Linked DNA regions of Drosophila melanogaster. The protein of the gene in region 3 purifies or fractionates together with the protein of the main gene of each other region. This does not show direct contact. Each region holds a gene or a part of one and is shown on either strand. Other genes may lie near its edges.

Evidence for each region.
Region 1: the proteins of LpR2 (region 3) and CG8507 purify together in Drosophila melanogaster (affinity purification with mass spectrometry, with the first as the bait; one large-scale study listed by BioGRID). This does not show direct contact.
Region 2: the proteins of LpR2 (region 3) and boca purify together in Drosophila melanogaster (affinity purification with western blotting, with the first as the bait; one study listed by BioGRID). This does not show direct contact.

What each region holds. Positions count from the first base shown.
Region 1 is NT_033777.3:9,789,746-9,793,630, reverse strand, and holds CG8507 (uncharacterized protein), read right to left. Parts: upstream 2,149-3,885; 5' UTR 2,062-2,148; coding exon 1,840-2,061; intron 1,786-1,839; coding exon 1,570-1,785; intron 1,508-1,569; coding exon 1,297-1,507; intron 1,236-1,296; coding exon 874-1,235; intron 819-873; coding exon 690-818; 3' UTR 533-689; downstream 1-532. Other genes in the region: CG8516 (uncharacterized protein), read right to left, coding at 37-179; CG12945 (uncharacterized protein), read left to right, coding at 2,541-2,792, 2,860-3,105, 3,171-3,311, 3,366-3,493, 3,547-3,677, 3,750-3,885.
Region 2 is NT_033778.4:7,565,243-7,568,675, reverse strand, and holds boca (boca), read left to right. Parts: upstream 1-1,937; 5' UTR 1,938-2,013; coding exon 2,014-2,163; intron 2,164-2,325; coding exon 2,326-2,718; 3' UTR 2,719-2,803; downstream 2,804-3,433. Other genes in the region: Vps13 (vacuolar protein sorting 13), read right to left, coding at 1,312-1,411; Rpe (Ribulose-5-phosphate-3-epimerase), read left to right, coding at 3,192-3,377. UniProt on the Drosophila melanogaster protein: Chaperone specifically assisting the folding of beta-propeller/EGF modules within the family of low-density lipoprotein receptors (LDLRs). Acts as a modulator of the Wg pathway, since some LDLRs are coreceptors for the canonical Wnt pathway.
Region 3 is NT_033777.3:25,737,367-25,742,270, reverse strand, and holds the start of LpR2 (lipophorin receptor 2), read left to right. Parts: upstream 1-1,805; 5' UTR 1,806-2,026; intron 2,027-2,648; 5' UTR 2,649-2,660; coding exon 2,661-3,216; intron 3,217-3,581; exon of another isoform or gene 3,582-4,244; intron 4,245-4,904. Other genes in the region: LpR1 (lipophorin receptor 1), read left to right, coding at 1-117, 259-291.

The DNA.
Region 1 (3,885 bases), about 16 Mb from region 3:
GATCCTCTGATCCTCTGGGTATTGGGGAGGACTTACTTAGGGATCCGCTTCTTGCAGCAGAGACAAGCGCCCAGCATAACGATGAAAGTGAGCGTCAGGCTGACGGTCGCCAGGAGGTACGTGTACGAATTTGGGGCCTCCAGGTGCAGTTCCGACGTCGACGCCTCCACCATGCCCATGTCGGTGTGTGTACATATGCACTATGTACCCATAAAGCGCTGGCACCGACCGCTGCACATATATATATTAACTTTTTAAACTTTTCGCTTAGCTAATATTTTCTTGTTTTTTGGCCCACCAAACGAAACGACAACAACAATAATGCGACTGGCATGCGGTCATACTAGGTGCGGTCCTACTGGGTGGAGGGAAATACGCGTTTTGTGCCTGCTATCATATGGTCACACTAATTTTATCGTTTTTTTTAACGGTTTATTCTTAACCCTATATTGTACTTTGAATATATTACAAATTTATTTTTTCCACATTGAATTTTTTAAAGGTCAAAATAGATTGTATATAGTTCAAAATTAAACTTGAGATTTTATTTATGTTCAAATGATATTTGGTATCAAAATTATATCTATGCTGAATAGCAGCAAGAATGAATATTTTTGTGCGTTACACAAACAGTTGCAATTAAATCTAATTTATTCGCTTGGCACTTTCAGTGTTTCACTTTCAAATTATTAAAGCTCGGTGTGCTTGAAGATGGTTTTTTCAATGTTCTCCTGGAGCTTCTCCACTTTGCGAGTTTGCTTCTTCAGCTGATCCTCCATTTCCTCAAAGCGGCTGCTTTTGTCCTTCACTTTTTCGCCCTATAAATAATTGTTAGTTGGCTTACAAACTTGATTGATATTAAGAAACATATACCTTGTATTTCTCCTTTTGCAAAGCATGCTCGGCATGCAAGTGACGCAGCTTTAATAGGCGACTTTCGAAGTGATGCAATTCGGTTTTAATGGACTCCAGTTCTTTAACCGTAAAATTGCTAGCCTGGGCCACTCGCCATAGACCCTGGACCTTGGGTTCAATGAAGTCCTGACTGTGTGGACCGGAGGACACCAGGCGTTCCAGCCTATCGTAGTGATCCTTGATGCCCGTGTGATGTCCTCGCAGAGTGTTAAGGTCGTTCTCGAAACTCTTCACGTTTTGCGCATGGGTTTTGATGTCGTTCTCATTGACATCATTCGAAATCAGATTGTAGGTGTCCAAGTCTTCCGTGTTAATAGCATCTAACGAGAATAATCAATGAAATTAATTGATGCTTTTCGTGCTGTTTTTAGCCAAACTCACTTTCATGCTTGTCGGTGTCTACGGTGCCAATGTTTTCCAGCAAGCTGTAGTACACATCCACTTTATCCTGGTGATGGTCAAACTCCTGTTTCAAGGATTTCAATTCCTCTGCAGTAAATCCGGAAATCTCGGCCTTCTCCCAAAGTCGGTTGAGTTTCTTGTCCTTGAAAAGACTCTTGTTTCTGTGTCGCTCCTCGGCGTCGTGGAATTTCTTAAAGTTAACTTGGATGTAGAGAAACTCTTGCTCTTAGGAAAGATGATTTAGATACGTACCTTGTAGGGCTTAAGCTTCTCCGTATCCTGAGTGTCGTCAAAATGCTCTAGCAGATCGTAGCTGCTCATGATGCCAATGAGCTTGCGGCGCAGTTCGTCGGCCTTCAGCCCGTCTTTGTCCTTGTGCTGCGAGTTGAGCTGCTTCCAAGCGATCTCCTCCTTATCGTGGATCTTGAGTTCCATGTACAGTGACTTGAGCTTGGGCTCTGTTAAGCGCTGTAACCGAGGTTAGTACGGTTAAATATGAGATATCTTATGGTGTCCACTTACATTCTGCGCCTTGGCCCACACGAGATTCAACTTGGCCATGCGAAATGGCCGCTGGATGCTCTTAAAATCCGGATCATACTTCTCCTGCTTTACTTGCTGAAAATGCGGGTCGTTGGCCTCCTTGCTGTACTTCTTGCTCTGCTTTTTGTCGGCATCCACGCCCTGCAGTGCAATAAGTACGGAAAGTGCGATGGCTGCAACAACGAGAGCTGACCTAACCATTTTCCTCGTGGTTTTTATTTCGGTTTTAAAGCTTGCAATTATTGGTGCAGTGCTGACCTGGCTAAACAGTTATTCACAACACGCAGTGTGGCCATCTAGCGATCGCATAAAGCTTTGGTGCTGACAGTCTAGCTTTTATTTTATTTTAATGCTTTGTTTTTCGCAGTTACGATTTTTGATCTTGGTCAATTTACAACAATTTGTTTGATTTATTTGATAAAGATGTTTAATAAAAATAATTCAATTTGCAGTAGAAGTGAAGAAAAATCATAAAAGCATGTTTGTCTAATAAATATAAAGCTACATTTTCCTGAAGTGATAAGTAGATATTGCAGCACTGACGTGACGCTGTGATGTTGCTAACTGGACTTGGTCACACTGCCAATTTGCATCAGCCGCCTTACCACGAAATTGCGCTGAATTATAATTATTATCGAGTGCTTACTACCTAGGAGTGATTACATTGAGAAACCAGGACAATGAGAACGGAGGCAGCGGTCAGTTGTTTCCTGTTGGTATTGCACAGGGTATGCTGTCAGAGCGGCAACGATGAGTCCTGGCTGAGTCCGGATCCCGCCTGGTCGGACCTGGTTAACGATATCAATCAGCCCGGTGAATTGTGCCAGTGTCCTACGTGTCCAGATGTGTCTCCAGTGGCCATGGAGGATGCCGTGGCACTCACATACTTCAAGAAGTTCGTCAATCTGCTGTTCCAGCGCAAGCGTTTTCAGGTATGATCGCTGTTTAGACCAAAGTTGGCGACATGACGTCATATGTGTGTAACTTTTGTGTAATTAGTACGATGTTATGTCGGCGGTCCATAAGCGATCGCTGCTCTTCTCCCTGATCCCATCGCAACTGGATGAACTGGAGAGGGTGCAGGATGCTCGGGATTTGGACGTTTTGCTGACTAAGATATTGGAGAGTGCCGAGGAGGCTCCTTTGTTTAATGGAAGATCCGGATGCTCATACGTCCGACACGGCTTTTTCTCCTTATTGGTGGATATTTTCAAGGATGTAATTGAACTGACGCAAACGACCGAGGTACCTGTTGCGCCTTTTTATGGAAACTTGACTATTTGCTATTTAATGGGTTTTCTCATTCCTAGGTGAAATTTATCCTATATGCAACATTAGCAATTGCACTTGTCGTCATTGTGCACAAACGTTTCCGTGTCGGACTAATTTCAATTGTACTAGGAGGCGTGTTTCTGTGCGGATATATTCAGACTTATTTAGAATGCAACAGAGTAGGTCTAGCCTGAAAGTGTGTGAAATTGTGCTCATTATATGTTTATAATTAGGAATTAGACATCGATAGGATGATAGAGGTCGTAAATCATCACCATGAGCCTGAATCGTCCTGGTTTGGTCGACTGTTAGGCTACATATACCAAGCCTCACCAAAAACTAAGAAGATAGAAATGATCAAGTAAGACCATAACATATAATTAAATAAGTCGATTGATGATCGTTTCCATTCAGAAAATCCGCAAAAATCAGCATTTCCATTTGCATGCCAGATCAAGTGTTCTTTATGTACATGAATAACATATTTATCAAGCAGTTGGAAATCATGATAGAAAAGGTGTCGGTAACTATGACTAAACTGTCCTGTAAGTATTTAACCAAGAATTCGCACAGTCAATAATTACCACTTACCACTTAATTACCATATTTACCCATAGCCGGATTATCCTTCCCGTATAACCTCCTTGCACCAGTCCTTTTGGTGTTTTTAGTGGGTTACACCATAAAGCTGTGCTTTAAATACATTTTAAGCCCCCGAGCATGGGCGTCACTTTTACACAAGCCAGCGCCACA
Region 2 (3,433 bases), on a different chromosome or scaffold from region 3:
ATACTGTTTACCAATGTCTGGCATTTTGGGCATGCGGCATTTATAGTTGTTAAGTGTTTGTTATGCTTGGAATGCAAAATGGGCAGCACAATTGGTGAATATACTATACATTGAATTACGCTTGTGTGTCAATAGTTTAACGACCAAGCGACCCCATTAAAGTTATCCAACATTTGAGGCCAGTCGAATCGCACTGATAGGAACATGTTTGGCCTTACTTTACAAACTTCATATCTGGCCAATAATCATAATTCTGCAAGTGGTGTTCAATTATCGACATTAAATACAAGAGTATTAATTATAAGTTACTCTGATAACAGTGTTGTAACAACTGATTAAATTAGATTGCTTCAATAAACAAGAAGAGTTATTCACCTGATTGCATTTTACAATATATGTACATATAACACGCTTGACTTGTAAATTGCAAAATGAAAACAAATATGAATCATTGGGCAAATAATATAATATAAATAATATACCCTGCATAGAAGCAATATATACACACATATTCCATTGACTTAACTAGGTCATTTTTGATTAGTTAAGCTAATCAGTTTTATTCAAAATATTTAGGTATTGTAGAGAAAATATCATTTTATAGCATATATTCATTCATTTCTAACGAAGCATAAGCCCGGTCTTTCTTACTTCAAGCATATTTGAATGAAATACTCTTATATAAGTTTAAAACAAAATGCTAATTAACATGAATTTATGAACGCAAGGCATTATGTCACCAAGTTCAAGATCAGCCGAATTAAAACAGGCTTGTCGCCGAACGTCACTCTTTGAACAAACCCGTTTACTGGGTTTGTCGCAAACTTGTCTTCGTGAAGTGGAATTTACAACCCACTTAACATGAAGTGAAGTGAGTACATTCAGATAAAAGACCGAAGAATTGTTTATGTTTCACACAGAAACCCTATACAAGTAGATTTGTAAATAAAAGATATAAAGGCAGAGACTAAATGAGCTCATGGAGAGCCAAGAGAAACCACAAGAATTGCTCTATCGCACAGCAAGATGCAACAGTTGTCCCACCCCTCGAAGTCTGAATGCTCCTCCGTCTTTTCTCTTTCTCAGAAGAATTCATTGGGTTCGCATGAACTTGCGAATACGGCTCACTTAGAAGCGACGAAATTAGGTCATTAATAGTATTTTGCCAAGGATAAGGTCACCGCCATCATTGTTTTTTCTGGGCACTTGCGTGCAAATAGACCAATAAACAATGGGTACCGCAGTAAGGCGATGTTTTTGCGTGAGGGTGGAGCAGAATGGTGTCATCCTCTCCGGGGAACTGGAACTCACCTCCCCAAATGCCAATCTTCAGCTGGTTCCGGTCCAAGTTCTCGATGTAGTCGCCGAGCACCTTGTTCAGCACATCGGCCACCACCGCCTCGAAGACCATTGTGTCCTAGCAGATGCTCCTATTGATTTTCCTCCAAGTTTGTGGTTGTTATTCCAATTGATGTGGTCGTGGTGAGTGCTTCAAACAATCTGGCGTTCGCTGTGCGGTCTATAGTTGATCTAAAATACATGCATATGTAAACACAGAAACCAAACAGATGGAACGGAGAGACGGATTAAAACACAATGTCGATGATGTCATCGTTGAACGCATTTCAAATATTTTGGCACAATCCGCCAGGCCCATTGTTCCAAAATAAACTAACAAGCCAAACGATTGTCCAGGGTCAGCTGGAGTAGGGCTGGTGCGATTAACTCACTACTCCACTCCAGAGCACGTGTGCAACGCCCGTTCTTATCTCTATTTACTGCACCCAATTACCAGCGGCATTTCCACGCGACAAAAAAGTAGTAACTCCGTGCGATGCGCGTTCTTTAAATGCTCGCCCGAAACTAACAGCTGTTGTGTTTTCCGTTTGCGTTCTCCACCTGGGGACGCTCAATCAGCTGTTCGGTCGCGTTCCCGGGCGAATGGCAAACTGTTAGGTGACGTGTTTGACCGTGCGAATTGCTGAGCTATAGGAAAAATATTTATAAAACACCATGCAAACACGTCTTGTTTTGCTGCTGCTAGCTCTGACCCCGCTCGTCCTGGCCAAGAAGTTCAAGGAGGAGGAGAAACCGGCGTGGGCCAAAAAGGATATACGCGACTACAGCGAGGCGGACCTCGAGCGTCTGCTAGATCAATGGGAGGTAGGTAACAACACTGCGATTGGAAAGCGACACATCGGACCCAACTCTCCAGATTCGCACCTAGCAAGGGAGTAATGCCAACCCTTTAGATTCCCACCTATCTAAGGATTCATCATTTGTAGAGACGGATAACTGATACCCCTTCTTTTAATCTTCTCTTAGGAAGATGAAGAGCCCCTCGAGGATGATGAGCTGCCCGAGCACCTGCGCCCCCAGCCCAAGCTGGACCTGAGCAATCTGGACAGCAAGAGCCCCGAGGACCTGCTCAAGGTGTCCAAAAAGGGGCGCACGCTGATGACCTTCGTTTCGGTGACCGGTAATCCAACCCGGGAGGAGAGCGACACCATCACCAAGCTCTGGCAGACAAGCCTCTGGAACAACCACATCCAGGCGGAGCGCTACATGGTTGACGATAACCGCGCCATCTTCCTCTTCAAGGACGGCACACAAGCCTGGGACGCCAAGGACTTCCTCATCGAGCAGGAACGCTGCAAGGGCGTAACCATCGAGAACAAGGAGTACCCAGGTGTCAATGCGAAAAAGGACGAACTGTAGGCCGGTTCCACGGCATACCAGCACATCAAAACATTCTCACTATTTAAGATCAAAGTTCAATTAAAATAAAACAAATTTATTAAACAAACTTATTAAAGAAGCTACATATGTATTTTGCTTGGCCATTCACAGGGAAACGGCTCCGTTTGCGGGATGGAATAAATATGGATAAAAATATGAATATTTCAATAAACATATTTTGAATATAATATTTGTATCTCTATTAGATTGTTTATATACACTGCGTATGTGTCAAATCAAAAACAAAATAAATGAAAAATTTAAGCAAAACTCTAAATTAATCGCTGACCAACTACACAACTCACGGTGCCATCGGCAAAGTTATCGTATCGCCTTTCAAATGTTTCGAGCTCCAGCTCCCCTCTGTGTGACCTTAAGTCAACAAGACGCCACCCGCGAACCGCGACGTGCTCTACTTGCTCCGCCTGTTGAGTAGCTGTTCCACCAAGAAGATGCCCGTCCAAGCCAAGATCGGTCCCAGCATTCTCAATGCGGATCTCTCCAACCTAGCGGCGGAGTCACAGAAACTACTGGACAATGGAGCGGACTACCTGCATCTGGACGTGATGGACGGCACTTTTGTGCCGAATCTCACCTTTGGTCACCCCATGGTCAAGAGCTTGCGCAACAAGATCAAGGTAAGTCTGCAGTCATCTGAGCCAGATATTCAATTACCTATGCCACAACCCCATAT
Region 3 (4,904 bases):
TCGATGAACTTCGAGAACCCCATCTACCGCAAGACCACCACCACAGAGGATCACTTCAGTTTGCGCAAAAATCTGCCGGCGCGGATCTACGACCACACCAGTGTCATGGATGAGGAGGTGGGTCTCCAATTATTAATTACCATAAAAATCCAAGTATAATGATAAGCATTGGGTTTAACACACCCGCAAATGATTTAATTTCCCTTCCATAATATTAATCGGTATACTTATTATAATTTATCTTAATTTATCTTGCAGTACTCACCCGTCATAGGCATATCCTCGTATTAGATTGATTCCTCTGGAATCGTGTGAAATGTGGATTGGATGATTGTTGCGCTTGGTCGCTGGGAAAATTAGATGACCAATGCTAACTCGAGACCCGCGGCAGAAACACACACGCCTGAAGACTGAGCAACTCTGTGTATTGTGTAAATTAATTATTTTAAAATTTTAAGGCACGGCAAGGACGGCGGGTCACCTTGGAGCGCATCCTTAAAGGATGCTGTACAAAATACTATGTCGCAGAGTTCTATCACAAATAAACAAAAGAAAAACAAAACAGAAATAGTTACGAGAAACGTAAAAGGAAACGAGAAATCTAATTGCTAATTATAAATTACATAGTTCCAAACTGTATATAGCTGTAAGTGTGCATTATTTTTAAATGACGCAACTTAATATTACTATACGTAAACATGACAAAGAGATCATTGTGCTTATGGTCTACTATTAGAGCAAGTTGAGAAATTATATTTCTGTTGTCAAGGAGCAGAGTCGTTTTATTATATTAAAATTATTACTGCATACGTATTAGCCTTTTGTTAACTGTATTTGTTAAGTGTACATACATATGTATATGTTTCCCCACTAAAAAGAAAATATGATGAATAATAAACTCAGAACATACTTATGTGTAGCGTACTCCTGTGATATAATTACATGACTTTGTGGATGGGATTTTAATTTGATTGATTTCAAAGTGTGAGTGGTAAGTTGCCAGCTATTTTTCCAGTTTTTATTTCCAACATTGTCCAATTTACAATTTTTTGCTGAATTTGTAGCATTTCGTTTCATCTTCAGATGCACAGCTGTTAAAAATGCACATATATTTCTGTTCCTTGAAGAAATCTCAATTGGAAATGTACCGAAGGGGAATAATTCATCAAAGCTTGATGATTTTACACTTTGATGATATCCAGACTTGCTAAAAGCCCATCGTGTTTCTCAAGCATCTTTGTTATTCAAATGGAAACCATGTTATGAATTGAAATGCAGAGGTACAGGTGCTGTCAATAGATCAATTTCCGCTACAGTAAATGGTTTAACATTTATTGACCAATTGTGATTTACGTGTGTCTATGCTACAAAGCCCATTACTAGTTTCAATCGAAGCCTTGACTGATTGACCCGGGCCAACAAACAATTTAGACCTGTAATTTTAGAAATTGCTACCTCACTAATTGGATGCCGAAACGACAAATAGTGGAACACACCTCCAAAATAGATTGATACACGTTCTAAGAGAGCGGCCGAAGAGAGAACCACCTGTTAGCTCTGATTCAATGTCAGCTTATTTGCGCACTGGTAGCTTTGTCTTCTCTTTGTGTTGGAGATCGAGGCTTTTGATTTTCAACGCTTTGGGGCTCCCCCCGATGATGACGTCGACACTCTCTTTTCTCTTCGCAGGTGTGATATGGTACGCGTGGCGATCGTCGGTTCGTTGCCGAACGAAAGACGAGCACTGCCGAAGTTTCTAAGACGGTTCCATTGGTCCGCTCACTTCGGAAGCGATATTCCGGCAGTTTGTACTCGCAGTGCGTGTCGCTAGGTCGTCGCTGGTCGCTTATCGCTCATACGCCCCATGCTTTGGATATAACTTCACCGTTAAACCGAGAAATTTCGGAATGCGAAAAAAGTTTCGGAAAGCAAAAGTTCAAAGCAAATAAAAAAAAGTTCAAGCCGGGGCTTTAAGGCCAGCTCATCGCATTTGTCGAGCGGAAATAAGTGTTAATTAAAAAAAAATGTATGAATCTATTTTGGCCGAACGTTACGTCAATATGTCATGTGAAAAAACAGCATAAATTTTAGTCCAACATGTGTTTTGCCATTCAATAAAGTAAATACAAGATTTGAACAACCAGAACCCATTCCGAGCTGGAATAATGGTGTCAATGGGTAGTGGCTGCGCATGACTTACCAGGCTTACCTGGCTTATCAACCGTTATACCGCTGATAGCAGATATATCCAAATAAAAAATTATTTTAATGTTTTAAAATGAGTGAGAGGGACAGCATAAGGGGCTAACCCTCGCTTTGACCAAAGGCGTCGCCCTTAGCTTGCAGTTTTATGTGTGTATTTCGTGTTTTCTGTGCTCTTATGCTGTTTTTTCGCAACATCGTATGTTTCTTTTTCCCTTCATCGCCTTTTCCGCATGTTTATCGTACCTATGCCTTACACTCTCATCCCGATACAGTCGATTCATTCTCTCACTTTTGTGAACGTTTTTTTGGCAAACGTTGCGTGTATTCGCCTAAACTTATTATTTAATGGACGTGTATAAATAAGTTGGCAAATCGAACCAGAGTGAAAAGCGTGTGTGACCCACTGAGCCTAAAGTGCAATTTCTACCGTATATATATTCTAGCAGCTGCAAAAGATGGCCACAACCTGCATGCCGCATTTCACGGAATATTTTCAAACCACCACCCAGTCAGAGTTAACAACAAATGAAAGTGCCAACAGCAGAAGCAGCAGCAGCAGCAGTGGCTGTAGAGAACCGTCCAAAACCAGTGGCTTCTTCTACAGCGCCAGCACACATTACCAGAGCAAAGTGCAGCAGCTAATCAGCTTCAGCTTCACCTCATCGTTCCACCTGCTCTTCATCACCTGCATACTGAGCATCAGCAAATTCTGCAATGCGGCGGCGGTAAATGCCGCCCATGTGACCGCTGCCACGCCCACTGCCAGCGAGATAATGCACAATCTGAGCGGATCGGCGCTGCTAGAGCGTCTGAAAGCCAGTACTCTGGGACCCACCCTCGATCAGCTGAAGCATCTGGCTCCTGCGGCAGCCAACAGCATTAGTCCTGGTACAGGATCTGGCATGGGAATCGGGATGGGACACTTTGGCAGTTCCATTAATTCGGTGCTAAACGGAAATCCTTTAAAGTTCTTGAATGTGTCAGGAAAAATCGGCACTCCTTTGGACATATGTAAGTTTTTACAAGCCCATAAAAATGGTTTATTCCTAGAAGTTCTAAATGCTAGAGGTATTTGTAGTTATAAATCTTTTAGTCACTCTTTTTATCAACTTGTATTTATTTTTATGATTCATGAAAGGCTTAAACATTCATACATATTGCCGGCGAATTATTAGAATTAGTCAACTATTAACATCACGTCACAAATTAAGCTTTCCATCATATCAAAACTAATCATTTTTGTAAGAGTTGCCGTATTTTAAATATCTATTAAAAAGCTATGAATATAAAATTCAAAACTAAAGTGCAGAATAATCAAAATTTAAACTGAAAAATAATTTAAATCACAATATACTTTGCAGCCTTAATTGAGAGTTGTAAACACTTAAGGCTCGTAATCATGGTTCGACTTTGTCGGATCTTCTTCGATTTCTCCGAGTGTAAGGGGATGCGGTGTTTATAGTTGGTGGCTCCAACTCCAACTCTCTCATTTCTGGCGATCATGCCACCAGCCATGTGTACATACGTATGCATACCCCGATTTCCAGTCCGACTCCGATTTTAGCTAAGGCTCCGACTCCGACTGACTCGGCTCAAGTTTTATTTATGTGAATTTTGTTGCCAGCCGAAAGCCAAAGCGTCTGGCAATGCCAGTAAACTGCACTTCCATTTCCATGTCCCAACATTCCACATCGTCATACGATTTCCAGACTGCAGAGCTCTTTCCCTTTTCTCCCCATGCTCCGTGCTCTTTTTTGTCGGCAGAAACCTTTTACTTTCCTCTACAACTCGCCTCTGCTTACACTGTAATAAAAGTTCCACTAAAACTCATGCTTAAAGTGACTAAAGTACCGGGATAAAATCGAGTGTGGCATACTTTTTGGCGTGCTATATATGACATTAAAAAAAAGGGTTCTTTAAAGTTCAGAATTTATGCATTTTCTTTCGGTGTACACTCTTTGCTTGTTCTGCTTCCCCTTATAATTATTCCATTTTATGCTTATTTTTTGTACCGGCCGGCATCGCTACATGAAGCGAATGGAGCGCCACTTGAAGACTTAAACTCCGGCGGCTCTTGTGAAATGTACAGAGAGAATACCGAGAAAGAGAGAAGAGGAGAGAAACCGTGGTAGACGGGGGAGCAGAGAACAAAAAGAGCAACAAGTGGCCGATTCTTGGAGTTTCTTGGCCTTGCACATTGGTCAACGTTTTTTTGTAAATCGATCCGAGCACGTGGCAGATATATGTACATTCTACTCCAACATAAACTGGAAGTAGCTCGACTTATTTATAAACATTTGTTGTTACCAAGCTGATCTCGATATCTATTTTGATTATCCCCCACCCAGAAGTAATTCAAGCACTTTAAAAAATATGGCTTAGCTTTAAAAAAACATAAACAGAAGATTGACTAACGAAGTAATTTTAGCTTCAAACGCGGCTGTTTGTAAATGACATTGAATAAGCAGGCAGTTTACATAAAGGCCTACGTAAAACATTCAAAGAACATTCAAAACATTCAAACATTCAAATTGGTAAGAAAATTGCTGAATAATCAATTATTTGCGCAAATTAAAAGTACAGTGTAGAACCAAAAATACAATAGACCCTGATTAAATATCAGGGCATAGTATCGACCATTTCACCATTGTTAGTCGCTTTTAATCTGAATATTTTAGTCCATCATATCGAAATATGAA